Linked DNA regions of Coturnix japonica. The protein of the gene in region 3 interacts with the protein of the main gene of each other region in a biochemical or structural test. Links are inferred from orthologs where the notes say so. Each region holds a gene or a part of one and is shown on either strand. Other genes may lie near its edges.

Region 1 (4,272 bases), on a different chromosome or scaffold from region 3:
TTCAGACCATCAAAATCAAATAGGTGTTTGACTACATATATTTATGATGTTGGCCCATGCTGTCAGAAGTGGACGTTGGTGGTATGGCATTTTGCTGCCATATGACAGATGGCAGCAGAGGGGCAATCGGAGCGAATGGAAGATGCGTATGAAGTGCGTATGAAGCAAAGACGTGTCACTGAGTTCCTCCATGTGGAAAAAATGCCCCCCTGTTGGTATGTAGTGACACTTGCTGAACGTTTATGGACAGCAAACATTGGCTGTGAGCACAGTGAGGCGGTGGGTGGTGTGTTTCAGTAGTGCTGACAGCAGGTCTTCTTTGCTGGTGCAGTTTGTTACAAGTACGGCATGCATGCCAAAAGGTTGGACACCCATGTCATAGCAGGTGCCTTAAACCAGCATCCTAATTCCATTCAGCATCATCCCCTGCCACCTCAGTTAGCTTCAAGGATTCTTTCTGAGGTGTGATACAAAACACAGTGGTGTTTAAAAATATCACAGTGTTCAGAGTAGCAGTACCTCCATTTTTCTGTACTTTGCCATGATCTGCACAGTCCAGATGATGTTTGAGCTTGATGACAGAACTGCTGACAGTATATACAGACATTTCCCTATTAGAAAATACCTGAACATCACAGGGGGAATTTAAAATGAGTTTTCAAGTCAGACTATTGCAAGAAATGGGAATACTGTTGCTTTAATAGTTCCCCAGCCAGTTCTTTCTTGCTTTTAGGGTCATAAAAGGCTGCTGCAGACCTGACTGTGATCCTTCTTCCAGTAGCTTTTCACTGTCGCAGAATCCCTTCCTACAACGGCAGGGGCTGGAATTACCAAGATTGAATGTAATTATGTGCTGTTGTTTTCTATCCCCCTTGCATTAAAAGACACACAAATTGTGATCAGTGACCTGTGTGACTCAGCTCTGGAACAACTGGAAGGCCCAGCCTGTGGATGCAGAACACAGAGGGGAAAGAAAAAAAGAGTAAGAGAACCAAAAAATACAAGTCCTTTAGTAGATTACGATGATATTTTGAATGCTTTATTTCAGTACCACAGTGTAGCTCCATCCCTTTCTCTTTGGGTGACACTTTGGGCAGCATCTCGCACACAGCGATGGTGCACTGCCATCAGCTGTTTGCTCCTGGGATCTACCTCAGCTCAGAGAGAAATAAAACAAACGAACAAAAAAAAAAATAAATCACAAAAGCTGAGCGGCCCAAGACTTTATTCCTTAAATAAAACTCTCAGTCCATGCAACAACCACCGCAGGGCCTGGCCCGGGCCGTCCCTCTGGTTGCAGCAGTTGATACGGATCTCTGGGATCCGTCGCTTTATTCACCCCGCTCCATCCCGCCCCGCCGCCATTTTCCGTCTCCTCAGGGCGGAGCCCATAGCAACCGCCAGCCGGATGGCGCCCGCCGGGCAGCGTCCAATCAGGAGGCGGCGCTGCCCCCCTCCCTCCCCCCGGCGCCGGAAGGGGCGTGTCCTGGAGGCCGGAAGCGGGGCCGCAGCTCCGCAGGGTGTGTGTGTGCGTGCGCCCAGCGGCCGCCGCGCTCCGTTCGCTTCTTCCGTCGGGATCCAGCCGCGCTCCGCGCCGCCCCCCGCCAGGTGAGGGTCTGCGGCCGCCCGCCCCTCGCTCGAGGCCGGGCCGCGACGCCGCGGTCCCGCTGGAGCCCGGGGAGCGGGCAGGGGAGGCCTGCAGCTCCCGACCCGCCGCCTGGGGGGAGGTGGAGGCCGCGGCGGGAGGGCCCCGCGCCGTGCGGAACCGGCCGCGCCGCTTCGTCCCCACCCGATCGCCGAGTAACGGTGCGACCCTCCCGCGGGGGCGGACGCTGCGGGGCGGCTTCTGGCCCGGCCACACCCGCCTGAGTCACCGCGCTCCGCGGGGCGAGGCCGCGCACACCTGGACCGAGCCGCGGGCCCGCGCCCTCTGTCGCCGCCCGTGAAGGGCTCGGCCCGGGCGGGGGGAGGAGGCGATCCGCCCCCAGGGCAGGGCCCGGCACGGCTGGCGGCCCCCTCCATCTCCTCCTCCTCCTCCTCCTCCTCCTCCTCCCGAGGGCTCCTCCCTTCACGACCCTCTCCATGCTCCGGGCCTTCTCGCGGCGCTCACAAAGCCCGGAGCTCTTACGAGGCGCCTGCTGTAGGGCCCATCCGTGTGAGCCCGCTCAGGTTTAGGAGAGGTGATGAGATGAAACGTCTGCGGTGCTTCAGAAGATGTTACACCGATGGTGTTATTTTTAATCTTAAATTATTCTTATCTGGGGATAGAGATGAGTTTAGGGAGGACTGCAAAGCTGACTTCACGCTATCCCCAATATATAAGAAGGTTGGGTTAGTCACCTAGAACTAACAACTTTAGGCCTTTATGAGGTATGTATAATTAGATATTAATTGGAATGATAACAAGTGGGATGCAGTCGCTATGTTAGCACGTAGGGCAAAAATGTATCTCATGCTGCCATTGCAGTATCATTCAGTTACTTAGTTAAATTCCTTGCCAACCGTTAAAATAACTTTATGGGGTAGGAAGAAAAACTGTTTATCACTCAGGGTTGTAGAAGCAGAAGAATACAAAAGAATTTTAAGGTTGTGTAGCATTCCTGGTTATGGGAATACTTGTGTCTTCACACATGCGCTGCTGCAGGACCTCAGGCAGAAGTTGTAGTACTTGTATTTAAAGAGTAGCTTGCATTGTTTGAAGGCAATATGGAGATGCAAATCGGTCTAGAAAAGGAAAGAAAAGAACGTGAGTGTTTTCTTCACTCTTGATATTAAAAACCTGCAAAAATATAGTTTATGTAATAGTTGGTTTATTAAATTGGTACCAGTGGAGTGGTAGACTCAGTGCACAGATGGGCCCGGTGCAGTTTTCTCAACCTCATTATGTCAGTACTGCATGTTCTGATCTCTGCTATTTTGATAGAGTCCTTTTTTTTTGTAAGCAGCCCTTTGCTGGTATGCAGCTTTTTGTGCTGTATGTGAATAAACTCCAATAAGGAGGAGTTAAGTCAATAGTTATTTGAATAACGGGATGAGAAGCTTGTACTGCAGCCTGTCTGGTGTCCTCATAAATCCCAGCAGGACTAGGCCTTATTTTAATGGCTTTTATATGACCACACTTTTTGCTCTACGCTGTAATATAAATGTTTTCAGATTGTTATTAACAAGTGATTTACCTGTGATACAGATACATTCGTTTGTCATTAATTTTATGCCTGGGGGGAGATTTTTTGTGGGATAACTCGACTATTTGCACTTGGACTCGGGCTAAAGGCGCATTCACTGGAACAAGGTGTTACCACGTAAGTATGTTGTACTTTGGAACCACGTGCTTGTCTCCACCCGCAGCTGTCCTGCGTGAAGTGCCATAGGTATGGAGCAGTGCAATGCTTCTCAGCCTCCAGTTCCTCATCAGAAGTCAATAGGGACAGTAAGGCTGCGGTCACTAAACTCAACTTGTCCATACAGTGTCAGTTTCCATCCCTGCTCTTGTTACTTCTGATAGAAGATCCCATGGTTATTTGCAGAGATTGAAAGCCTTTGTACCATTTTTCCAAATGATAGGGAAAATCAGTTTGAGGAAAGAGCAATTAATGGTGGCAGAAAGCTGCCCAGCAAATTGAGGCATGACTTTATAGAATGTTAATGTGATCTTAACGTTTGCGGAATGATTAGCACCGAAGGCCGGGATGTATTTCTAATCAGCAGGTACAGAGGAGGTTGGTGTTGTGTGCTGCACAAGGTCAGTGAGAATATCACAGCTGTGAAACCCATTTTTCTTTTCCCTTCCTTAAACATGCAGTATATTGTACTGAACTTTTGTCATAGCCAAGCTCAGGGTGGCTGCAGAAGACTTCAGTGTTGTGATTGTATCAGACGTCCATTTTCTGATCAGTTTTTCAACAATAGATGGTTGCCTTGGAGGGAACTGAAATAGAGAGACACAACGAAGTGAAATGGCTGAGGTAAAGCAAAGAAGGTTCATCGCACTCCATTTATGGAAGGGCAATTCCTTTCATGCAGAAAATACTGACCGAGCGATGCCCGCTTGATGGTGGCTGCCATCAGTATCACACAGGTTCTGCCAGCATTGTAGCTCTGCTGTCAGCGTGTGTGCACCTGAATGATGGCTTTGCCATTTGTTTCAGGAATAAAAGCTGTTAGTCTCAATAATTACAGAAATAGAATGGAACGTACCTCACAGACATGTTTAATTTTGTAATTCATTGCCTATCCACAAACCTGTAAGGTACATCCATGTGTTGGTAGTTG
Region 2 (3,610 bases), on a different chromosome or scaffold from region 3:
GCCACCTCTGCTTCTCTTACAGCATCCAGGCTCCACAGGCAGTGGAGAAAGCCAGGCTTGCCAAGGACACTGCTTCACGGCCTCTGTTCCTTCCAGACCCTGCTCGGGTCCAGGTGGGGCCAGAGCAGGACCGTGACCATCTCTATCACCCTTCGGACAGGGCTGAGGTGGAGCCTGAACCCCAGTTCCACAGAGCACGCATGGTTCTGTCGGCAGAGGTGGAAAATGGTCCCTCAGAGGACCGTGACCACCTGTACCACAGCTAAGGGAGGCTGCAGCCCTGCCCCCACCATGAGCCCCCAATAAACCTCTCCTTGTTGAGCAGCAGGTGGGTGCTTGGTTTCTGACAGGAACAGGGGGGTCCAGCAGGCCAGGGGACTCAGCCAGTCACCCCAGCTCCCATTCAGCCCATGGGAAGGCCTGGCTCTTTTAAAGGCTCTCAGCCATCTCCAGTGCTTTTCAATGTGGAGGCTCCTAACAACAATGATGATGCACCAGCAGCACCAGGAAAGCCTTTTAATAGCAGTAACGAGCCAAAACCCTACTGGGGATCATGTCCAGTGTGGGCATCATTCCATGCCAAGCGCTGGCTCCCTCTGCAGTGCCAATGGGCCCATCCTTCGTTTTGAGGCACATGGGTGGTAAAGGGCAGACAAGGGCAATCAGTGTCCGCAGGTTCTGCAGCTCAGCTGTCAGTGAATTTGGCCTTGCGCTTCTCCACAAACGCAGTCATCCCCTCCTTGCGGTCGTCCTGGTGGCAGAGAATGGGTTGGGGCGGCCCACAGCCCCACTCTCCCTGTGTGTCCAGGGCCAGCCCTGTACTCACGGTGGCAAAAGTGGCATAGAAGAGGCGCTTCTCCGTCCTGTTCCCCTCTGTCAGTGTTGTTTCGAAAGCTGGAGATGGAGAAAAGATAGGGATGAGGAGATGGGAACACTGTTCAATCTGGACCCCAAATCCCTGAGTTCACCCCGTACCAGCATTGACAGACTCCTTGGCCATAGCTACCACCAGCTTGGAGTTGGCAGCGATCTTCTCAGCGCAGCCAATGGCTGCATCCACCAGCTTGTCCGGGGGAAAGACTTTGCTGACCAGACCTGGGGGCAAGCAGGGAGGTGATATGGGGACCCCCATTGTGCCCCCAGCCTCACCCACACCCCTACCTACCTGCCACCTTGGCCTCCGCTGCTGAGATCCGCTCCCCAGTCAGAACCATCTCCATGGCCAGTGATTTGCCCACCGCCCTGGTCAGCCTCTGCGTCCCCCCAGCACCTGGGGATGGGGTGTTGGGTTTGGGAGCAGGCACGTGGCCGTCACCAGCCCACCGGGGACACACAGCCCCCACGCTCACCTGGGATTGTCCCCAGCAGGATCTCAGGCTGCCCAAACTGTGCCTTCTCCCCAGCATAGATGATGTCGCACATCATGGCCAGTTCACAGCCGCCACCCAGCTGCAAGCACAACGGGTTATGGCACAGCGGCAGCACAGATACGGGGACATGGGGACACGGAAGGGGCACTCACGGCGAAGCCATTAACGGCAGCGATGGTGGGCTTGCGGACAGTGGCCACCCGGTCCCAGCCCGCCAGGAAGCCGCTGCCATAGCACTCCTGGAAGGTTTTGTTCTGCATCTCTTTAATGTCAGCGCCGGCTGCAGGGGGGAAGGCACGGGGTCACCAAAGGGCTGCGTGGGGATGCGGAGGTGGGGCGGTGGGACCGCGGGGTGCCGGAGCCGTACCTGCAAACGCCTTCTCACTGCCGGTGATGACAACAGCTCCCACCTGCCCGTCGGCCTCGAAGGCGTCCAGCGCCCGCCCCAGCTCCTCCATCAGCCCCGCACACAGCGCGTTCAGCGCCTCGGGCCGGTGCAGCCGGATGAGCCCCACGCTGCCGCCCGTCCCGACCTTCTGCACCTGCACGAAGCGGAACGGGGCCCCTGCGCGGCCATTGCGGGCCGACCTTCACCCGTGTGTCCGCGCCGGGCGGTGCCGGCTCCCGGTTCCCCCGCTCGGTGCCGCTGTTCTGACCGCGGCCCGCTCCCGCTGCCCGTCCCCGGCTCCCGGTGCCCCCCGCCCCGCAGCTCCCCCGTCCCGTCTCCCCCCGCTCACCGTGGCTGTACCCCCGCCCCGCCACGTGGGGGCGCAGTGCGTTCAGCAGCGCGCGGTGCCGCGCGGTACCGGCGCAAACAGCGGAGCCGAGCAGGGCGCGCAGCGGGGCCGCCATGTCTCTGCGCGGACACTGCCCGCCCTCCCCGCGGCCTCGCTCCGCCCCGCGCCCATCGCCGCGCTGTGCCGCGCCCCGCACTGCGGATCGGCCATTGGCACACGCGGGACCCGCCCCGCCGCTCCACACGCGTGTCCGCGCTTCACGTCGCCCGCGGGCGCGCGGCCCCGTGCCCACAGCGCGGAGCGGACGGGAGCGGAGCAGGAGCGTGAACCGGGGCTGCACGGCGGGGACGAGACCAGCCCACGCGGGACGTGGGAGCGGGAGGCGGCGGGGGCAGCTGTGCCGTGAGGTGCGTTGGGTTGTGCACGGGTGTGCAGGGGCTGCGCACAGCGCGGGGTGCGTGCGGACGTGCAATGCGTGCAGCGGGATGCGGCACGTGTGAGCGGGACGGACAGCATCACACTTGTCTGTGCAACCCGGTGTCAGTGCATGTGGCACGTGTGTTGAAGTGTGTGACACACGTGCCGTCCATGTATCAGTGTGTGTAATACATGTATCAGTGCATACAACATACATGTGTGGTCCGTGTATTATGCAACATATGTAACGTGTGTGTTGGCATATAGGGCAGACGTGCAGACCATGTGCTTGTGCACCTCATGTGCCGGGGAATGTAACACACATTGTGGTGCATGTGACGCGTGTAATCCATGTGTCAGTGCAATCTACATGCGTGTTGTGAATGTGGCACACGTGTAGTCCCCGTGTTGGTGCATGTAGCACAACACATGCAGGCTGTGACCATGCATCCCACACACAGGTGCATGTGCAAGGCATAAGGAGACCTCGTTGCTGCCCGCGTACCTGTACAGCCCGTGTTGGTGCACGTGACGTCTGCAGCCCATGCACGATGTGACTGCTCACACCCCACATACGTGTGTGCACGCAGTGAGGTGGGCACCTGCCCACAGCACAGCCCCCCTGTGTGCAGGTCGGCGGGATGAGGCGGCGCGTGGCCTGCTGCTGGGTGCTGCTGCTGCTTGCTGCCACCTTCTGCCAGCCAGCTGCCTCCAAGGGCGGGCGTGGGGGCTCCCGGGGGGCTGCACGCGGCATGGCACGGGGGGCTGCCCGCAGCCGCCACAGGGGCCTGCCACGCTACGGCGGGGCTCTGCGTGTGGCTGCGGCGGCGGCGGCAGCTGGGGCGGCGGCTGGAGCTGCACTGCACCAGGCCCGGGCAGAGATGGAGTACCACGAGGGCAACGGGACGGCCTGGACGTCGGCGGCACCGGGACGGATGGAATGGGGCTGGGCCGTGCCCTGGTTCTGTCCCCTCGCTGCCATCCTGCACCACTGATGGCGCCCACTGGGTTCCTCAGCGATTCGACAGTGACGTGGAAATAAAGCTGGGCGACGCTGCGTGTGGATGGATGTGGCCCAAGCAAGGG
Region 3 (3,500 bases):
TTCCATAAATAATTTAGACACTTTGTGAAAGGAGGTACAAGGTGCCTGCCTAGAACTTCATCAAAAATGAATTAAGCATTAAACATGGCCCTCAAATGCTTTGAGTGTTCGAACTTCCATAAGAAAGTAATTACATTTCTGACACATAAAAATGCCACAATGCATTGGTATGTAACTTCTTCAAGAAACTAAGAAGCCAATTGGGAAAAAGACAATTGTTTCCCATTTCCCCTCACAAAACAACTTATTCAGCACCTGTAGGGAATAAAAAGCCTGACTGATTGCTTGCTAATACCAAAGGTCAAAGCAGGTGTCCAGGAAGGAACTCAGGCTACAGGAAACAAGAACAGAATCCTTGGCTGTGTCACTCTTCTTGCTAGATTTATTCTCTTCTGTTTTCCGCTGTCACCGCTGTGTCACCAGACTGTGGAGACTCTTTCGTAAGCAAATGCCCTTTTCCCCTTAACTTGTCTGGAGACATTACAGATTAGAAGGAATGTGATCTTAAAAATTCTTTTATTTATCTATTGTCCTCTGTTAACATGAGATGCACTATGTTCATACAGTGAATGTTGTCCTCTTACTTCTAATCAGAGCTTCTCTCTGTGACTTTTAGATGTCATTTTTTATTTTCCCATATATATGTAGTAAAGCAGTATTTTCTCCTATGCTTTTTCTTTTGCAGGAAAACATGCATACATTAATTCTGAAAGAATTAGTCCCATCTATTTTTCAGAAGCCACTTTAGTCAATAAGAGTGTTCTTATTCCTTGCTGCTGCTACAGTTGGGCTAATATACGCAGCTTACATCTGAGTTGCAATATTGTTTACACTTTATGTGGATAAATCAATACATTTAATATTATTATTCCTAATTGTGCAGATCAGAGATCAACCGGTGGTTGGCCAGCTAATTCCTGACAGCTATCTGGAGCTGGAGAAGAGAATTTTGCTGGAAAGAAAAAATGTCCCGGTTGAATTTCCTGTGATTGATCAGAAACGATTACTAGAAATGGTACAAGAAAACAAGTTACAACTGGATGAAAATGAGCTCCCTCATGCAATTCACTTTCTGAATGAATCAGGTAAAATATGATCTTCAGTGGATGTTTTATTTGCAATTTGTTGCAAATGTGCAGCAGATGAGACTTGTATGGATCAAGGTTTACCCATTGTGTTGAACTGAAATGCTGCCCGTGGGTAAAATATTGCAGTTTGATAATCCTCATCAAGAAATTTCATGATAAAAAGCATCACTCTTATAACATCTTATGTGTCTTGTCACTCCTGGGAAGTATCACCCTGCTTGTTAGGCTGCAAAGTGCCTGAAGAAAGATACAATTGTTGAGACAGCTTGAACAGAATGGCAGGTAACAGCTTGTATCAGCACTATACAGAATTAAATATGAAATAATTAACAACATAGAGCAAAACCGCTTCACCAAAAATGCCCAAGTCAGATAACAAACCTAACAAAACATCTGAAAATAGAGGTAAAGCTGAACAAACCGTGATTTTCTACTCTCTCAAGATACTGATGCAGATGCAATAACTGAATTTAGTGTTCAAACTGATTGTATCAAGTCACATAGGGAAGACAGCCCGGAGTGAGGTGGTTATGTTGCTTAATAGGGAGCATAAGGAATGTGTTGCTAATTACAGTGTGTTTTGTGCAGGTGTACTGCTTCATTTTCAGGACCCAGCACTACAGCTAAGAGATCTGTACTTCGTAGATCCTAAGTGGCTGTGTAAAATCATGGCACAGGTCAGTCTCTGATTATGTTTTATATCTACATTCATGAAACTTTTTCCCCTGTACCAAGCCACTGTCATTTACCAATGATTCTTTTTCACTATTTCTTTACAGTTTCATTATTTAGTATTTCTTTGTGTTTCAAATTACCCATTTCTTTCTGTTTTCTTTGCGTTCTAGACAGCTGCCTGTCTCAGTTATTCCTTTTCTTATGTAATGTGGAACATCATTTAATTGGCACCAGGCACAGGAATACCCATAGAGTAAAAAAACCTCAGGGATGCACACTTATCCCACAATATTGTGATAGGTGAAGAAAAAAGCAGAAGCTCTGTATTGAAGTAGTGATAATGGGTGAGGAATGGTCACTGTATGCTTGTACTAGTGATGTAGGAAAGTCAATGATACAGAATCCTGTATTAGGACAGAAAAGAAATGGCTTGTCTGCTTAAGTGAATTTGTACTTGATATCTTGATTTAGAAACGCCACTTTTTGATAAATATTCACATAACCTGACCTGAAAATTTACCTTTCATTCACTGAATGAAATGGAATGCAAAAATACAAGACTGTTGTCTCCTTGCTGGTTCACATTATGGAAGTCATTGGTTTCATTGTGACATGGAGTCTAATTTTCCTCACAAATAATAGACTACCAGATATTTCAGGGACAACATTAGTAAGGAAAATACGATGTAACGATGACTGTACGCCTCAAATTGTTTTCCTTTTTTTGAAAGATTTTGACTGTGAAAGTAGAAGGCTTTTCTAAGTATCCTAAGGGAATTGTTAAGCGCTCAGACGTGGAAAAATTCCTGTTAAAGAAGAGCAAGTTTCCTAAGGTCTACATGTCACAATACTTCAAACTTCTGGAGAAGTTTCAGATTGCTTTGCCATTAGGAGAGGACCAACTACTAATCCCAAGCAGGTAAGCAAAGACCCACAAATGTGCCATAGAGAGAGATCAAAATAAAAACCTCCCATCGGTCTTTCTAGCTTAACTCATCAACAGAGCAATTTGGCATTTGAAAGCGTATTATGTACTTATTATTTAGTAAATGCTTTCAGAGACATGTTAAATTGATCCTGTAGCAGATAAAGCTTTCATCTTTGAATAATAAAATGCTTTATGAGGAAAGTACTTCTTTAATAGTTACCGTGCTCCACAACAGGAAGATTATAATTTAGCCTCACATTATGGTCTGCTGACATTACAGATATTTATTGCAAGGTAAATTAAAACCATGATTTCTTATGACTTATTTGCTTGAAGTCAGAACCTGTGAAGGTATTCAGAGGCAGAATCTCTCCAAAACAGCACGGTGATTAAATGCAACCAAAAAGATGTTCTGAATGTGGCAGGTAATGGTTTCTCTACCTCAGGTGCAGATTTCACTAATGTGTTAAATAGTGCTTGTTTTTCTTAATGAAGAAATTATTTGTGAGGTTGTGATGAGTTTGGATTATAGCAGAAATTTACTTTATCACAAACAAACAGAATAAGACAATACACTGTCTGCGGCTGGATTCCTTGTGTTATTTGTTCATTAATGAATGCATTTTACATCGTTAAATAATGTATGCCATCAATAAGTTTGGATAAAGTACATCATTAAACAAGGTACAATATTTTTTTTCTTTCAGTTTGTCTGATCACAGACCTGTTATAGAGCTTCCTCACTGTGAAAATTCAGAAATTATCATCAGACTTTATGAGATGCCATACTTTCCTATGGGATTTTGGTC
Region 4 (4,077 bases), on a different chromosome or scaffold from region 3:
AAAGCATAGTACAGAATTTTTCGTAAAACACTAATTTCTTCAGGCAGAAAAACATAGATGGATCATCCATTTTTGGGTCAAAAATGTCCTTAGTGCTAGAGCTATAAAGACTTGCTGCCATACTGAACTCCTCTTGAAATACAGATCATAGAACAGGCATTTAGAAAACTCAGAGATCGACTGCAGGTTTTCAATGAAATACAGAACTCTGCAACACTGAAAATCTCAGTAATCCCCAAACCCTACTTTTTAAAAAACAGGCATTATGGTACGTATGACTTGAAATTAAATATCACTAAAACCAGAAACAGCGGCAAATGAGGTATGATGTCTGTTCAATGGTGAGCAGCATAAACAAGGTGAAACATTTACATGACTGTACATCATTAGTATCTTCAAGATGTATTTTATTTCCTATCAGCATGTACTATGAAAGCTTTATCTTTTGTTCATCACAGTAACAGTCTGCTAATATGTATTATCATGACAGTTGTCCTCTTCCCAGACCCTGACCTCAACTATTCCAACTGACCTCAATGACAATGGCTTGCACACTCTATGTTGCAAGATTAAATGCTTTTCACTGGATCAGATTTTCTTCCTTCTCATAGTATCCCAGTGTGAATGTTTAAAATTCTCCCAGATATATGCGGCAACCTTATCTTTGTTTGGCAAGTGGAAATGGTCTTGTAAACTAGGAATTTTGTGATTATGCACACAAAGAATGGGGGTTAAATTGGGGATTCCTTGTGCACGAGTGTAGCTTCAGTCCTGTACAGTAAAAATCTCCATGTCACACCACCACAATTTCCTTCTTCACTCATATTTTTGTGGTGTTGTGAACACTTCTTTGTGATGAGATTGTACAAACTGATATTCCTGTCTCTCTCAGAGAGCAATATGTAACATTTTCGTCAGTAGGAGTTCTTTCTTTTGAGGGGCTCATTATTTTTACAGAAACATCTTCTTTTAAAATTCCTTAATGTAGATTTGTGTTAATTCATTCAAAGATTTCCTCTTTTCACTAAATCCTGCTCTACTGACATCTATAGAAAAGGAATATTCTTATCCTAAAATAGCTCAAGCATGGATCTTCTAGCTATGGGGAGCAGTTCAAATGAATATTTAAAAAGTCTGAATGTGAAATCAGTTCATCCTGGAACTGGTACATGTAAAAAAGCTGAAACAAACATATTCCCAGAATTGGCACGATTTAGATGCATGTGTCATTTCATTCTGACCAGTAGAAGTGCACAGACATTAACAACGGAAAATCAGATAGGGATATAAGTTTAATAAATGCTGATAAATCTTAAATATTTTGACTATGAACTGCTTTTGGTAGGCTTAACTCTATAGAATCTTTGGGGATTGAGGGAAGGATATGAGCACAAGGAGGAAATAATATTTCTAGATTTCATATGACCAATTAAAATCTAATCTAATAATTATAATAATACCCATTAACCATGCTAAATGATTTATGGTTAGATATTCATGAAATATCATATTAGAAAGATTTCCATTTCAGACTGTGCCAAAACAATTCTGATGCTGATCTAATCATCAGTTGTTTCATGGGAATAAGAAGGTTTTCTTTGGAAAGCTTGTACAAAAATTCATGAGGTCAGGAGCATATAGGACAGTTTACACAATAGTTGTACCAATGAAGATTTCAAATAAAGACACAGTTTTATTTTCATTGCTGTTTTAAGATATCATTTTGCTATTTCCTTGAGACACAGGCAAAGCATTTCTGTGCCAGTAAAACTGGAACTATGTTTGGGCTTTTGCTTCATTTTTTGTGTTTTGTAAACAGATAAAAATTAGATCCCAGACTGGTAGTAGTTATTCTTTTAAGTGTAGGCTTGAATGTAATTTAGATCTTTTAGTATTCTCAATTTCCAAAAGTTGCTAACTATCTTCTAATACAGTTTAGCTGCCTAGATTTAGATGCTGTCAGAGGACTGCCATCGCCATATGAAATACACGGGAAACAGCAAAATTTAAATGAAGTAAAAAGTTTAAAATGATAGCATAACTGCTGAGATTTTAAAATGTTATTTCTTTCTCTTTCTTATCCATAGGTGCTCACATGGATCAGCCATGCTGCCGAGCTCTGTATGACTTTGAACCAGAAAATGAAGGAGAGCTGGGATTTAAAGAGGGTGATATCATTACCCTCACTAACCAGATTGATGAAAACTGGTATGAAGGGATGCTTCATGGCCAGTCAGGATTCTTCCCCATCAATTATGTCGATATTCTAGTTCCTTTACCCAATTAAGATAGCTGATCCACCACCTCTGTTCCAGATAGTAATGTCAGTACCACTGCTTTCAAAATGCTGCTTCTTACACCTTACAAGTGCAAACTGCAGTGGTTAGAATCGTCAAGTCCCACTGAGCATCTTTGGTTTATGTGTTGTCATACTGCGTAGTGGTGATGCGTGGTATCTTCTGAGCCAACATAGTGTGGGTTAGACCACTTGGCCACACTGACCTCGTGGTAACCAGAGTACTGCTGAGATGATGTTGGGAAGATGATGGCAAGCCAAACAGGTGACTCATGGTGAAGTAGCAGGAAGTGAAGGTGGTACTGGGAAGATAATGCCTATCACCACTGTATTACTTTTCAGTCTTAGTTCTTTGTAAAAAGAGGGAAAAGTTCTTGCCATTCCATCTTTCCCTTCCTGATGATACAGTTCACATGAGTCTAACCATGACTAACAAGAATTGTATCTTCTGACCAAAATGGCTTGCTATTCTCACAGAGACGGTATAAATATAGACGCTCTGGTTTCTCAGAAAGCGAACCACTGTACTGCGTGCCCTTCTGGTCTCTGCTCATTTTTGTATTTTTGATTGTTATTAAAAGACCTATTTCCATCTGTAGGTAAACTTCGAACCATAAAAAGGGGATTCCTATAGTAAAGAGCTTGAACCACAAACTACATGAATTTGCCCTTCATAAACTTTGAGCATGCTCAATAAAATGCCGGTAGAAGGGCAAGATGGGGGATAAAACTGTTATTAGTGTTAACTGTTTGTTGTCAAGTTTTGGCACAAAATCATGCTGCTTAAGCACCAGATAGTCTTTTTAAACTCATTCACTGTGGAGGAAAACCAACCAAAATACTATCTTCCCTGCTTTTATTTCTGTCTACCATGTGTTCTTCGAACATCATTTGTGTGTATTCTGCCCTCAATGAGGACTAAATAAAACTTATTTCTTTTTGTGTTGAGCAATTAAAGACATGTGGCTGTATATGCAAAAACATTTCCCCATATGTTTAGTTCACTCTTTTTTTTTCCTCCTTACTGCACTTGGTGTGTACAGTGCTGTGCCTAGCTTCTCAGCCTTCTTTCAGATGCAAAAGTTCTGTTAGTTTAGTAATCCAGAGTTCTATTTATGTAAACTATAGAGACTCTCTTTCAGAAGTTTAATGTGCTGCTTTGAACGTGCCACTTCAGTACTGGATGATGTGAAATGATGACAATTCCCTACTGCTTAATATATAAACTGTATCATGGAATATTGATATTTCAAATAAATGCTGAGAGAATAACTGGAATAATTTTGTGAATTATTATTTTATTCTTTAAAAATCTCTTGTGCTTAACTTTGACTAACAAGAATTTTGTTTTGGAAAATGTGTTTCTCAAGCCTGACTTGAAAATGTGAAAAAAAAAAAGATTTTTATATTGTTGCATGGCTTCTCTGAATTGAAACCCATATATGTAAAATGATCTTCATAAATAGGGTAGGCTGAACATCAAGCACATAAAGTTAATGTCATTATGACCAGCATGCAGTCTTGTGGAGACAGGATAGTTCCTGTTCAAGTATGCTGTGTTTCGAAAAAAAAAACACCAAGTAATGCTTAGACATACTTGTAATAGTATTTTGAGGGTTTTATATTAGAGTTACATAGGGTTTATATTCTTTGTTGTACAGATATGATCATGGGTTAGCCTTGACAAAGAACCAGGCACCTACCCAACGGCTTGCTCTTGGTCTCTTCTCAGTGGGTAGGGAGGAAAAATGGGAAGAGAAAGCTTGTGAGCCAAGATAAAT
Region 5 (4,145 bases), about 81 Mb from region 3:
TCATCGCAGACAGAGTCCTCACTAACGCCTACAACAATAAACACACTTAATAATCCAAGAGCCGACCACTTAAGTCTCTGCTCCAAACCATGAGGTAAGTTTGTTTTTCTTCATATATGTGACCTGTCCCATTGACTCCACTTTTGTGCTTCATGCACATATTTAAATGTCTAAGGTAGTCAGGCATTGGAATGCACTGCCCAGGGAGGTGGTGGAGTCACCGACCATGGGAGTGTTCAATAAACATGTGGATGTTGTGTTGATGAATATGGTTTAGCCGGGAAGTATTGGTAATGGTTGAACTATATGATCTTCTAGGTCTTTTCCAACCTTGATAATTCTGTAATTCTGTGATTCTGTTTTCATAACAGAAATGTATCATATAACAGATGTATCTCCAAGACTCAGTGTGATATTTTTCATACATATGTAAACCCATCTTTTCATAGCCTAAATTTCAACAAAGCTCTCGAGCACTGTCTTATTTTCTGCCTTAAGATTTTAGTGACACCTTGCCAAGTACCTCTGGCATTTCCTCTTGTTCAGCTCCACGCAGTCAGTGACTGCCCAGCCCTCCCATTTGTCAAGGTCTCTCTGTAAGACCTCCCTACCTTCAAGAGAGTCAGCTTAATGGGCAGGGGTACTACTTCACAGAATCACAGAATTGTAGGGGTTGGAAGGGACCTCTAGAGATCATCGAGTCCAACCCCCCTGCCAAAGCAGGCTCCCTACACCACGTCACACAGGTAGGCGTCCAGGCGGGTCTTGAATATCTCCAGAGAAGGAGACTCCACCACCTCCCTGGGCAGCCTGTTCCAGTGCTCCGTCACCCTCACTGTAAAGAAGTTCTTCCGCACATTCGTGCGGAACTTCCTATGCTGTACTTTCATCCCATTACCCCTAGTCCTGTCCCCACGCACTACTGAAAAGAGACCAGCCTCGCCACTATGGCTCCCACACCTCAGGTATTTATAAACCTGGATCAAGTCCCCTCTCAGCCTTCTTTTCTCAAGGCTAAACAGACCCAGTTCCCTAAGTCTCTCCTCATAGGGGAGATGCTCCAGGCCCTTCACCATCTTAGTGGCCCTCCGCTGGACTCTTTCCAAGAGATCCCTGTCTTTTTTGTACTGGGGAGCCCAGAACTGGACACAATATTCCAGATGAGGCAGAGCAGAGGGGGAGGAGAGGGGGAGGATCACCTCCTTCAACCTGCTGGATACTTGTCCCTAAGGGCTCGGCTCCAGCCCCGTCCTGACACACATCCCCCTCCTCACCGCCCCAAGGTAGCACGGCCATAACATCCACCATGGCTCCGCCGCCTCCCCGTGCCTTCCGGTGGCGGGCGGCGCAATGCGGAAGGGACGGAGGGGCCGGAGCGGAAGTGAGGTGCCGCCGGCTCCCGCGGCAGGGAGCGCAGCGGGCGGCAGCTGTGGCGGCCGGTGAGGAGCTGCGGGGCCGGTATTGGGGCGGGTCGGCGGCACCGCGGGCGGCTGTCGGTACGGGAGGAGCCCGCTCGGCTGTCGCCGTGGCGGGTGTCGGGCTGCGGGGGCGCCGCGGGCGCCAGACAAGATGGAGGCTCTGTCAGCGCCGCGGGCGCCGGGCAGGTGGAGGGGCGGGGGCTGCTCGACCGGTGCCGGCTCCTTGGCCGGCCGCTCCTGCCTGTGTCGTATGAGGGGGCGGAAGGTCGGTGCCGCTGTCAGCCCTCAGGTTACCGGCGTGGGGCTGCGGGAATGGAGCATGTTCGCTGCTTTCTAGCCGCTCCTCTATGCTCTGTGCATTCCTTCAGCCCCTGATATATCGGTGGGCTGCTGGTGTTTTGTGGTTTGGTATTGCTTTTTTTCATTGCTCCGAAGGAAGGTGTTACCTTTATGGCTTGTCAGCGGTCTCTCTCGTGCGGTGCTGCGATTTTCTAATCGTCAGCCGCTGCGAGGGAGGGCTTAAGTCCAGACGGAGCTCCGCGTTCGTTTATAAAGAGAAACCAAGCAGTAGGTTATCGTCTCTGTATGTTATTCCAAAGCCTCTTAGCAGCTTTACTGTTTGAAATGTAGTGTCCTTTTATACAAGGTCAGCATGAGCAAAAGGCATCGTAAAACTGAAGCTCCTGGCCCTCTGTGTTCAGCAGAAGGTTGCTGCTGCTCTAATGTGTTTGTGGCGACTAAAGGAGAACCTCATCTCCAGTTTCTCTGAGTCTGGTTTAGGTATTGCAAAAGAAATTCTGGTTGTTCTGGAGGAGATCTTAAATAAATCCTTTGTGCTGCTCTGGGCAATTATGTTTTTGCAATGCTGGCATGTTGTCTTTAAGCTATCTTTAGATATATTTGTTTTGAAACATAAAGTAAATCTCATGAACTAGAAAGAGTGAGCATCTCTTTTCTTCTTTTTCTCTTTTTTGTTGTTAGATCTGTAAAATTCTTAGGAAAGAATGGAAGTCAGACCTGTTCTGCAGAAGGTATCTGGAAGCACAGGAAGCTCTCACTAACATCATCTTGTGTTGGACAGGACTGCCAGCGATAAAGGCAAAATGGCTTTCAGTAAAGGATATCGTGTCTATCACAAGCTGGATCCGCTCCCGTTCAGCGTGATAGTGGAAGCCAGAAACAGAGAAGAATGTCTCATGTTTGAATCTGGAGCCGTGGCTGTCCTCTGTAAGTCACTATGTTTTGATAAATACAATGAAAAAACTGGCAACCTTGACGTTGTGGAAGCTGTTTTTATTTATGACAGATAAGGAAGAAGCAGCAATTCTGGTTTTTATTTGCTAATGGAGATCCTTTTGATTTAAATGGAAGAAATGTTTCGTATCTTTATCTGTTGGAAAGAGAATTTTACACATTTAATTAGATTTTCATCATGAATATGTATTGCCATGTATACAAAATATTCTTCCAATATCTGCCAGCGTCTGCTTATCTTTGGTTCTGAGCAATCGTCTGCCTTTGAGTACACAATGACTCATTAAAAAGCAAAATCTGTGGTGCACTTATTACAAAGTGCTGTATTCTTAAATGGTGCATCATCTTAGTTTGTTTATCTCACTTTGTATTATGACTTAGATGGGTTTTTTTTTTGTTTTTAAATCTATGTTGCACCTGTGTTTTTAACCTATCACCATACATTGTGTGTTAGATCATCTCATAATAAAGTCAGTCAATGTTTTGAGCAAGATGTCTTGTATTGCATAGTCATTTTTATGTGCTTTCAGTGCTAAATGCATCAAATGCTTGTGTTTTTTCAAGTCAGAGTCGAAGGAGGGCTCTAAAACAGGAAGTGCAGAAAAGATCCTTTAAACCTACAGACAGGGTCTAAAAATATACTTTGGTTTGTATTCTTCAGTACAAAGGCCTGAGCACCAGGTTGCCAAGAGTTCCTAGGCTTCTTCTGGGCAACCTGATCTAGTAAATGTGTATGTTTGGTGGCCCTGCCAGGCAGGGGGGTTGGAACTACATGACCCTTGAGGTCCCTTCCAACCCGGGTCATTCTGTGATTCTGTGATTCTTGAATCTTGTGGAAAGCTTGAGTACTGTGGATGTACTTCTTTTGAATGGATCAATTTTTGTTGAAAATTGGTGCCCAGTGTGAGGTTGTAATGCATTGCCTGCAGCCTTACAGGGCTCACAGGTGGGTTGTTGTCTCCCCGTAGGGTGCTCTGGCCCAGATAGGGTAGAGTGGGCTGAGCCGGCAACATGTTCCCTCCTACAGCAAGGCTGAAGGTTAGAAGTGGGAGTTCTGAAGTGGGATTGGAGATGCATTCCCTACCCTACCTTTGGTATCTGTAATTGTTTGTATGCCTGATGCACTCCTTAGCTGTGGCATTGCCTCTTTGTGAGGCACCTGGCTGACCCTGTATCCTGCAAGTTAAGTGCTTAGAAATCAGGCCATAGTTTGTGCTGAACCGGCTGTGTGAGCTAGTGCTCTCTTGCCTGTGTCTCAATCTGTACCTTAGTTAATGTGATATTTGGAGCTGCTATGATCCGATACAGGTCTAGCCATGGGACTTGCTAGCACAGTTGACATTACAAATGAAATTAACTCACAGTTATCAATGTCAAAAACTGTGAGTGCTTTCTTCCCATTTTTTGATATTTGTTTTTATCTGTTACAGTTTCTTCTTAATATTTGTGTAACTTATCTTGTTGACTTTGCCA
Region 6 (3,500 bases), about 110 Mb from region 3:
ACTAGATCTTGTATTCAGACGTTTGTGTACTTCTGCAATGTGTGTTTTCTCAAGCCTGGGGATAAGCTCAGGTGCTGCTGTACCTTCCTTTCTGAAGGAGAAGGCTGATTTATTTTTTTACTTCTTTTTTTTTGTGTTTGGATGACCAGTAGCAACTTGTCCTCTACCTTATTTCTCTGAAATCTCTGCTGTATAAGGAAGCAGAGAACGTAGATAACGTAAGCTTCACTGATAGCAGAGTGAACTTTAATTCCATTAAAAGGTAGCAAAGCAACATGAGAATTTGTGTAACAACTGGAAGGGATGTGCTGCAAGTCAGTTGATCCAAATATGAAAAGCTATGGGTAGAGGAAATATCAATTCATGATGTTTGGAGAGTGTTGGTTTCTTGAACTAATGCTGATGTCAAGAAGTGTTATGTAATTATACCTACCTTGAAACTGTAGCTCATGAGGATAGACTGCATGCCAGTACCTGATATCATCTACCATTTGTGTGGCTGCTGATTAATTAATCAAATGACCAAAATTGCACTAGAACCTTGGATGTGTGATAGGTCATGAAACACTGAAATGTGTTAGGAAGAAGGTTCTTACTCTCTGCTTTCACATTAGTGTTTGCTGCATTAAAAACAGCAGTGTTTGATTCAGCACTTGATTCAGTATAGAGCCATTTACTAGCTTATGCCTGGCCATTATGTACATAAACCACTTCTAAGTTCAGATGTCGTTTTCTTAGAATAAAGAGGTAAGTAATGAAATACTGTGCAAATGGCTTTATTCTTCAACTTTTCCTTGAGTGTAGTGACGTTTAAGAGCTATCTCTGAGCATCAGTCCCCTAGAATGGTGAGTGAAATCCTATCTCTGCCTCCTGAATGTATGGTGGAACCCAGATTGATAGATGTCTCTGCGTTAAGCAAGAACAAAATGATGACATCTCTTAAGTTGTACTTAAATTCTTGAATTATTCTTTTTTAATTAATTGGAATTAACCTTTTATTGGCAGAATTCATGGCGTGTGAATGACTGAAGAATCTAATTTAACTTTAATATTCTTAGTAACTTGATCTTACTTTGCTTAAATATCTTGTGTGTGCAGTGAGGAGCTAGGAGAATTCATGGAGGTGAAAGGTGCCAACAGCCCTGGGATCCTTGTCCTGACCACAGGCCTCAGCAAACCTTTTATGCGTCTGGATAAATACCCCACGTTACTCAAAGAGCTTGAAAGGCACATGGAGGTATATCTTATCAGCATTTATGTTCCAGCTTAATGATGATTTGACATCAGTTATTTTAAAGGTACATGTCAAACATGATGGGACCCCAAATTACCTTTGTTTCCTTTTTCTTCAGCCTTCCAAGATATGGGCTGCAATATTTCAGAAGGTGGTGCAATAAGACTTCCTGAGAAAGCTAAATGTTTACAGTAGAGCTAGACAGAGAAGCCAACCTTCACCCCTAGAAGAGTCTTGCAGACTTGATGTTTGTGTTTTGTTTTTGGGTTTTTTTGGTCTACTGTACACACAACTTGAGGCAACTTTATCTTGTAGGAGTTTTGCTTTTCATGTTAGGATTTCAACCTGTTGGATGCATCATCTTGACTTCTACTGAACACTGTCCAGAAATGATCTTTCCACCGTGGGAAGATGTTTGAAGATCAACTGTCTCTGCATTTTCATCTTATAGGCTAGATTTCTTAGCTGTGAAGGAGAAAGAGAACTAGAAACTGTACTCTGAGTCACATGGTTTGTCAGTCAATGACAGCCTGACATTTTGTATCTAGGGAGTGTGATGTATTTACAATGAAAGACAACAAGCCAAATAAAACCCTTAAAAATATGCACTTTGTATTAGGAGTTCAAGTTGGTAAGCAATTTTATGTGTCCAGAAGGACATGTAAAATTTCCTTGACACTTTTTTAAGCAAAAGAGTCAACTACAACATTCCTATTTCACTTTTACCAAGAGGAAGACCACCAGTATGTTGAATTGGAAGGTTATGGAAAGAGAACAGATAGGTCTAACAGCTTTTATTTTATTGGATTGTTGATTTGCTTTTAGTTAAGCCTCTAAGCATTTTTATTATTATTTTTACTAAAACTGATTTTTTTTACTATGTTTTTTTTCCCTTGCTTTTAGGATTACCATCCAGATCGTCCAGATATTCAAAAATCCATGACAGCCTTCAAAAACCTTTCTGTAAGAGGAATGAAAAATAGATCATGTATATTTTCAGCATCATGTTTTCTGGTTTAATCCCTGTTGGTTTTAAAATGTGAAACTTTTTTGTACACACCTGTATAAGAAAATTTGCTGAAAGTTCTGGGACTCTGGAGATTAATGTAGTTTGTGGGCAGGGCTAAGAACTGCACCTTGTTGGGGAGTTACAGCAAATAGGCTCTTATTTGTGCTTCATTTTCCTTTCTGTTTGCACTTGTGACCTAAAGAAGGGCCACAACATTTGAGTGTATTTCTGAGATTGTACAAAGGTGCATTCATTCTAGGGGAATTGTGCTGGAGCTGGGGGAGAAGTGATAGTGCAGATAGTGCAAATGAGGATGGGAATATGGGATCTTTAAATAATCAAGATAATAAGCCTGTTTTGGACAGATGAGTTGATATTGCTGTTTAAAGGACAATAGATCTTAATTCTGAAGAATACAACTATTAAATTTAAGAAGTACAACTGCAACAGATGTATTTCTTGCATTCTCAATTACAGTAAACTTTTGTGTTTCCTGTTAGCAATGGAGGCACTTCCCGTTTTTTACATTTTAAAGCAGAAATTTTACTGTGGTCTGTGTTCAGAAAAGGCTGGAGGATCTGTGAGTCTGAGCACTTCACAAATGAAAGGAAACACTTCTTGAGGGAAAAGCAAGTGGGATAAGTTGGGAGTACAGTTAGTGAAATAGATTGGCAGGAAGTGTAACAGAAATAGGAGCAGAAGGTTGTGTGTACTCTGTTTGCACAATTGACGAGTCTCTTGTAATTCAAGTATATTTTGCGTGTAGCTATATGTATTCAAGACAGCTGCATTACTTCTTCCTGCTTGGCCTAGATGTTTTTTGTCACAAGTATAAAAATGGAAAGGGTAATTTAAAAAACAAGGATGTGACTACCAATTTCTAATTGAAGTTAGTCTATTAAAGAAAGAAATACTATTAAGTTAGACTAGTTTTATGGGAAATACTGGTAGTAGCAATATATGAAAATGCTGCAAATGTAGGTACTGTCTTCTGTGTACTACAATGACAATGGTAAATATATAGTGGTATTTCTACCCTCAACCTGTTCTGTGTTGGTAGAGTTGATACAAAAGAATATTTTTGCCTCTTATTTGTTAGGCACAATGTCAAGAAGTACGAAAACGGAAAGAACTTGAACTACAAATACTAACAGAAGCAATTCGCTGTTGGGAGGGAGAAGATATTAAAACACTTGGCAATGTGATTTACATGTCCCAGGTCATGATTCAGTGCGCTGGAAGTGAGGTAATGTACT
Region 7 (3,336 bases), on a different chromosome or scaffold from region 3:
TGGAAGACAAAGGTGGTTTTTTTTTGATGGGGGGGGGGATATAAGGGAGGGGGGGGGGGGGGAAGGCGGCTTCTGAAGGCAAAGCTGTGGGTGTTCGGACTGCAGTTTTTAACTCTTTTTTTTTTTCTTTTTTTTTTTCCCCCTTTTCTTTAAACCCATCAGCACAAAATAAAGCAAATGTCACTGGTTCAAACTTAACAGGGTTTTAAAAATGTCTTCAGCTTTAATTCCAAACTTCAGGTTTTGGGTTAATTTTTTTTTTTTTTTGGGTTTATTTTTTTCCTGAGCCTTTTTTTTTTTTTTTTTTTTGACCGTATATTGTAAACTTTTATGTTGAAAAAGATAAAAAAAAAAAACCATAAAAAAAAATAATTATATATATTATACATTTACAGATTGTGAGAATTTTTAAGAGAAATTTTCTACTATGTATGCTGGCTTTATTTTTTAATTTAAAATAACAGGGTTTTTTTCCCATTGGGAAGCAGAAGGGTTGAGCTGCAGCTCCCTCAATGCTGACGGATGGGGTCAGAGAGGAACTCGGGGGAGTTAAGAGATGAAATCTACTGAGCGTTGCTTTGCTTTTTGCATCTGTTATCGACCCAATGGGGCTTTTTAGGGGCTGAATGGATGAGAGGCAGGTTTGGTTGCAGGCTTTGTTGGTGCACGGAGTCACTTAATGGAGCGAGGCCTTGAGCTTCAATCCTCTCTATGGGATCCTGTGTTGGGTTTTTGCATTCAGGATTTGGGGTTTGAACCGAGGCCTTGTGTGAAGATGTAGATTTAACCCTCAGGCAAAAAAAAAAAGGTTTTCGAGGTGCGTCCTGCGCTGACCAGCTGTCAGCCCTGGTTTGAATAAAGACAAGTACATTTGGATTAGAAACACAAGCCTGTCTCCATTTTATTTTTAATTATTTTAATTACGAGCTTTCTTATGGATCCATGAGGAATCGATTGGGCTGCAGCCATTGTATGAGGAGCTGCATGGCACTGCTGGGCTTATATAGACACCAAAGGGCTGCATTGGCTGCCACCTGCATTGGACTGAGCTCAGACACGGCTGCAGCTGCCCTGTGTGCAGTCAGACTCCCCGCTGAGTCCTGCAGTGTGATAACGGGGGGGTTCCAGCTTATCACTGATAACAATCCCTTATCTCTGATTAACAATCCCTATCTCTGGATTTTTCGGGCGCGGCCCCTTTAAGAGCACTAAGGGCGGAAGTGCTGCGCGGGGCGGGCATTGGTTCCACTTCCGGCCGCAGTCGCTCTCGCGAGATCTCTCACTTCCGGCTTCCCTTTCCTCGCAGAGCAGGCGAAGATGGTGGGTGCGGGCCGGGGGGGGCGGCGGTTCTAATCGGGCTCCATCCGCAGCCGGTGCGGCCTCCAGGGGCTCCGCTGCGGCCGAGGGAGATGCGGCATCTTCCCTACGGGGGGATGGAGGGCGGAGGGCGGGCGGTCCTTGCAGCATGGAGGAGATGGAGCCCGGAGGAGTTAAGGCCGGGAGGAGATGGGGCCTTGAAGGCCGCCAGGCCCCGGGTGCTGATGGAGGCGGCGGTGTTTGAGGCCAACATGGCGGCCGTGTGCTTCTAACGGCCGCGTCCCTTCCACCCCATCCCGGCTACAGGCTGAAGTGGAGCAGAAAAAGAAGCGAACTTTCCGCAAGTTCACATACAGGGGAGTGGACCTGGACCAGCTGCTCGACATGTCATAGTGAGTGCGGGGGGAAGGGGGCCTCGCTGGGACCAATGAGGCCTCAATGGGTCCAATGGAGGCCTAGGTGGGTCCAGTGAGGCTTCGGTGGGTCTATTGAAGCTTCGCTGGGTCCAATGAGGCCTCGCTGGGTCCAGTGAGGCTTCGGTGGGTCCAATGGAGGCCTCGGTGGGTCTAATAGGGGCCTCACTGGGTCCAATGGAGGCCTTGCTGGGTCCATTGAGGCCTAGGTGGGTCCAATGAGGCCTCGGTTGGTCCAATGAGGCCTCACTAGGTCCAATGGGGGCCTCGCTGGGTCCAATGAGGCTTCAGTGGGTCCATTGAGGCTTCGGTGGGTCCAATGAAGCCTCAGTGGGTCCATTGGAGGCGTCAGTGGGTCCAGTGAGGCCTCGCTGGGTCCAATGAGGCCTCGCTGGGTCCAGTGGAGGCCTCGGTGGGCAGCACCGTCAGGCCTTGCAGCCTCAACGCGTCCGTCCCTTGTAGTGAGCAGCTGATGCAGCTCTATAGCGCCCGTCAGCGCCGCCGCCTGAACCGGGGGCTGCGCCGAAAGCAGCACTCCCTGCTGAAGCGCCTTCGTAAGGCTAAAAAGGAAGCGCCTCCCATGGAGAAACCCGAAGTGGTGAAGACCCACCTGCGTGATATGATCATCCTCCCCGAGATGGTGGGCAGCATGGTGGGCGTCTACAACGGCAAGACCTTCAACCAGGTGGAGATCAAGGTGAGCTTCGTGTAACCCCTTTAACGGGGGTGGGGGGAATCTGAGCTGTTTCTAGGTGTGGAATAACACGGTGCCACCCGATAGCGCTGCCTGTATTGAATGGCATTGTCTATGAGGGTTTTGTTTGCGGTGTTAAAGGTGACTTAAAGCACAGTGAGCAGATCCTGCTGGGTGAGCTGTGCTCTGTGCTGTGCTTTGTTAGCAGGGCTGCCCCCCACCCCCCTATTAAACCCCCTTTCACCCCCTTTAACCCCTGTTTCTCCTTCACTTCCAGCCCGAGATGATCGGTCACTACCTGGGCGAGTTCTCCATCACCTACAAGCCGGTGAAGCACGGCCGGCCCGGGATCGGTGCCACCCATTCCTCCAGGTTCATCCCATTGAAATAAACCAGAGCTTTGGGAAACGGCTTCTGTGTGTCAATAAAGAAGCTCCTCCCTGTCTCTAATCCTGGGGCTGGGGGGGGGATCTCAGTGAATCCATCATTTCCATGTGGGCAGGGCTGGCTCAGGGTGGGTCCATCCTGCTTTATTTGAGCTTATATTCTGGTTCTTTTTGGTGAGCACAGCCTTTTAAATGGATTTATTAATGGATTTATTAAGGTTAATGATATCGCACAGTCTTTGTTGGATAGGGCTGAGTGGTTTTACATACATAGGGCTGCTTCAAACCATACCTAAAGAGTCACAAGGTTGGAATTAAGGCACCTTATGGGGCACAGACAGCTATGGGGTGACCCCAATTGGCTGCTCTTGTCCTAACTATGGGATGACAAAGGCTTTGAGCTTCTATTGGCTTCAATGGGAGGTGGTCCCGTCGTCCATTCATTGCAGCCCAAAGGAGCTGGGGGTCGCCCCTTAAAGGGTCTGTGGACCCCGGGGTGGGGATGGAGCCCCCCCAGCCTCCAACC

What was found.
Region 1: the proteins of LRRK2 (region 3) and YWHAB interact on a protein array, tested with the Homo sapiens proteins (2 studies listed by BioGRID and IntAct, with this or other methods). The link is inferred for Coturnix japonica from reciprocal best matches to the Homo sapiens genes LRRK2 and YWHAB.
Region 2: the proteins of LRRK2 (region 3) and ECHS1 interact on a protein array, tested with the Homo sapiens proteins (2 studies listed by BioGRID and IntAct, with this or other methods). The link is inferred for Coturnix japonica from reciprocal best matches to the Homo sapiens genes LRRK2 and ECHS1.
Region 4: of the proteins of LRRK2 (region 3) and SH3GL2, one has a biochemical effect on the other in vitro, tested with the Homo sapiens proteins (2 studies listed by BioGRID and IntAct). The link is inferred for Coturnix japonica from reciprocal best matches to the Homo sapiens genes LRRK2 and SH3GL2.
Region 5: of the proteins of LRRK2 (region 3) and SYNJ1, one has a biochemical effect on the other in vitro, tested with the Homo sapiens proteins (2 studies listed by BioGRID). The link is inferred for Coturnix japonica from reciprocal best matches to the Homo sapiens genes LRRK2 and SYNJ1.
Region 6: of the proteins of LRRK2 (region 3) and ARHGEF7, one has a biochemical effect on the other in vitro, tested with the Homo sapiens proteins (2 studies listed by BioGRID and IntAct). The link is inferred for Coturnix japonica from reciprocal best matches to the Homo sapiens genes LRRK2 and ARHGEF7.
Region 7: of the proteins of LRRK2 (region 3) and RPS15, one has a biochemical effect on the other in vitro, tested with the Homo sapiens proteins (2 studies listed by IntAct). The link is inferred for Coturnix japonica from reciprocal best matches to the Homo sapiens genes LRRK2 and RPS15.

What each region holds. Positions count from the first base shown.
Region 1 is NC_029535.1:4,611,370-4,615,641, reverse strand, and holds the start of YWHAB (14-3-3 protein beta/alpha), read left to right. Parts: upstream 1-1,472; 5' UTR 1,473-1,608; intron 1,609-4,272. UniProt on the Homo sapiens protein: Adapter protein implicated in the regulation of a large spectrum of both general and specialized signaling pathways. Binds to a large number of partners, usually by recognition of a phosphoserine or phosphothreonine motif.
Region 2 is NC_029521.1:5,960,970-5,964,579, reverse strand, and holds ECHS1 (enoyl-CoA hydratase, mitochondrial), read right to left. Parts: upstream 2,249-3,610; 5' UTR 2,223-2,248; coding exon 2,108-2,222; intron 1,936-2,107; coding exon 1,738-1,935; intron 1,651-1,737; coding exon 1,523-1,650; intron 1,450-1,522; coding exon 1,350-1,449; intron 1,271-1,349; coding exon 1,166-1,270; intron 1,096-1,165; coding exon 976-1,095; intron 895-975; coding exon 827-894; intron 752-826; coding exon 686-751; 3' UTR 501-685; downstream 1-500. UniProt on the Homo sapiens protein: Converts unsaturated trans-2-enoyl-CoA species ((2E)-enoyl-CoA) to the corresponding (3S)-3hydroxyacyl-CoA species through addition of a water molecule to the double bond.
Region 3 is NC_029516.1:13,471,402-13,474,901, reverse strand, and holds part of LRRK2 (leucine-rich repeat serine/threonine-protein kinase 2), read left to right. Parts: intron 1-883; coding exon 884-1,085; intron 1,086-1,676; coding exon 1,677-1,765; intron 1,766-2,494; coding exon 2,495-2,682; intron 2,683-3,398; coding exon 3,399-3,500. UniProt on the Homo sapiens protein: Serine/threonine-protein kinase which phosphorylates a broad range of proteins involved in multiple processes such as neuronal plasticity, innate immunity, autophagy, and vesicle trafficking.
Region 4 is NC_029547.1:29,795,310-29,799,386, forward strand, and holds the end of SH3GL2 (endophilin-A1), read left to right. Parts: intron 1-2,087; coding exon 2,088-2,287; 3' UTR 2,288-3,577; downstream 3,578-4,077. UniProt on the Homo sapiens protein: Implicated in synaptic vesicle endocytosis. May recruit other proteins to membranes with high curvature. Required for BDNF-dependent dendrite outgrowth.
Region 5 is NC_029516.1:94,512,719-94,516,863, reverse strand, and holds the start of SYNJ1 (synaptojanin-1), read left to right. Parts: upstream 1-1,345; 5' UTR 1,346-1,350; coding exon 1,351-1,439; intron 1,440-2,499; coding exon 2,500-2,645; intron 2,646-4,145. UniProt on the Homo sapiens protein: Phosphatase that acts on various phosphoinositides, including phosphatidylinositol 4-phosphate, phosphatidylinositol (4,5)-bisphosphate and phosphatidylinositol (3,4,5)-trisphosphate. Has a role in clathrin-mediated endocytosis.
Region 6 is NC_029516.1:125,581,325-125,584,824, forward strand, and holds part of ARHGEF7 (rho guanine nucleotide exchange factor 7), read left to right. Parts: intron 1-1,099; coding exon 1,100-1,238; intron 1,239-2,138; coding exon 2,139-2,198; intron 2,199-3,343; coding exon 3,344-3,490; intron 3,491-3,500. UniProt on the Homo sapiens protein: Acts as a RAC1 guanine nucleotide exchange factor (GEF) and can induce membrane ruffling. Functions in cell migration, attachment and cell spreading. Promotes targeting of RAC1 to focal adhesions. May function as a positive regulator of apoptosis.
Region 7 is NC_029543.1:2,248,272-2,251,607, forward strand, and holds RPS15 (40S ribosomal protein S15), read left to right. Parts: upstream 1-1,220; 5' UTR 1,221-1,317; coding exon 1,318-1,320; intron 1,321-1,623; coding exon 1,624-1,709; intron 1,710-2,192; coding exon 2,193-2,427; intron 2,428-2,701; coding exon 2,702-2,815; 3' UTR 2,816-2,836; downstream 2,837-3,336.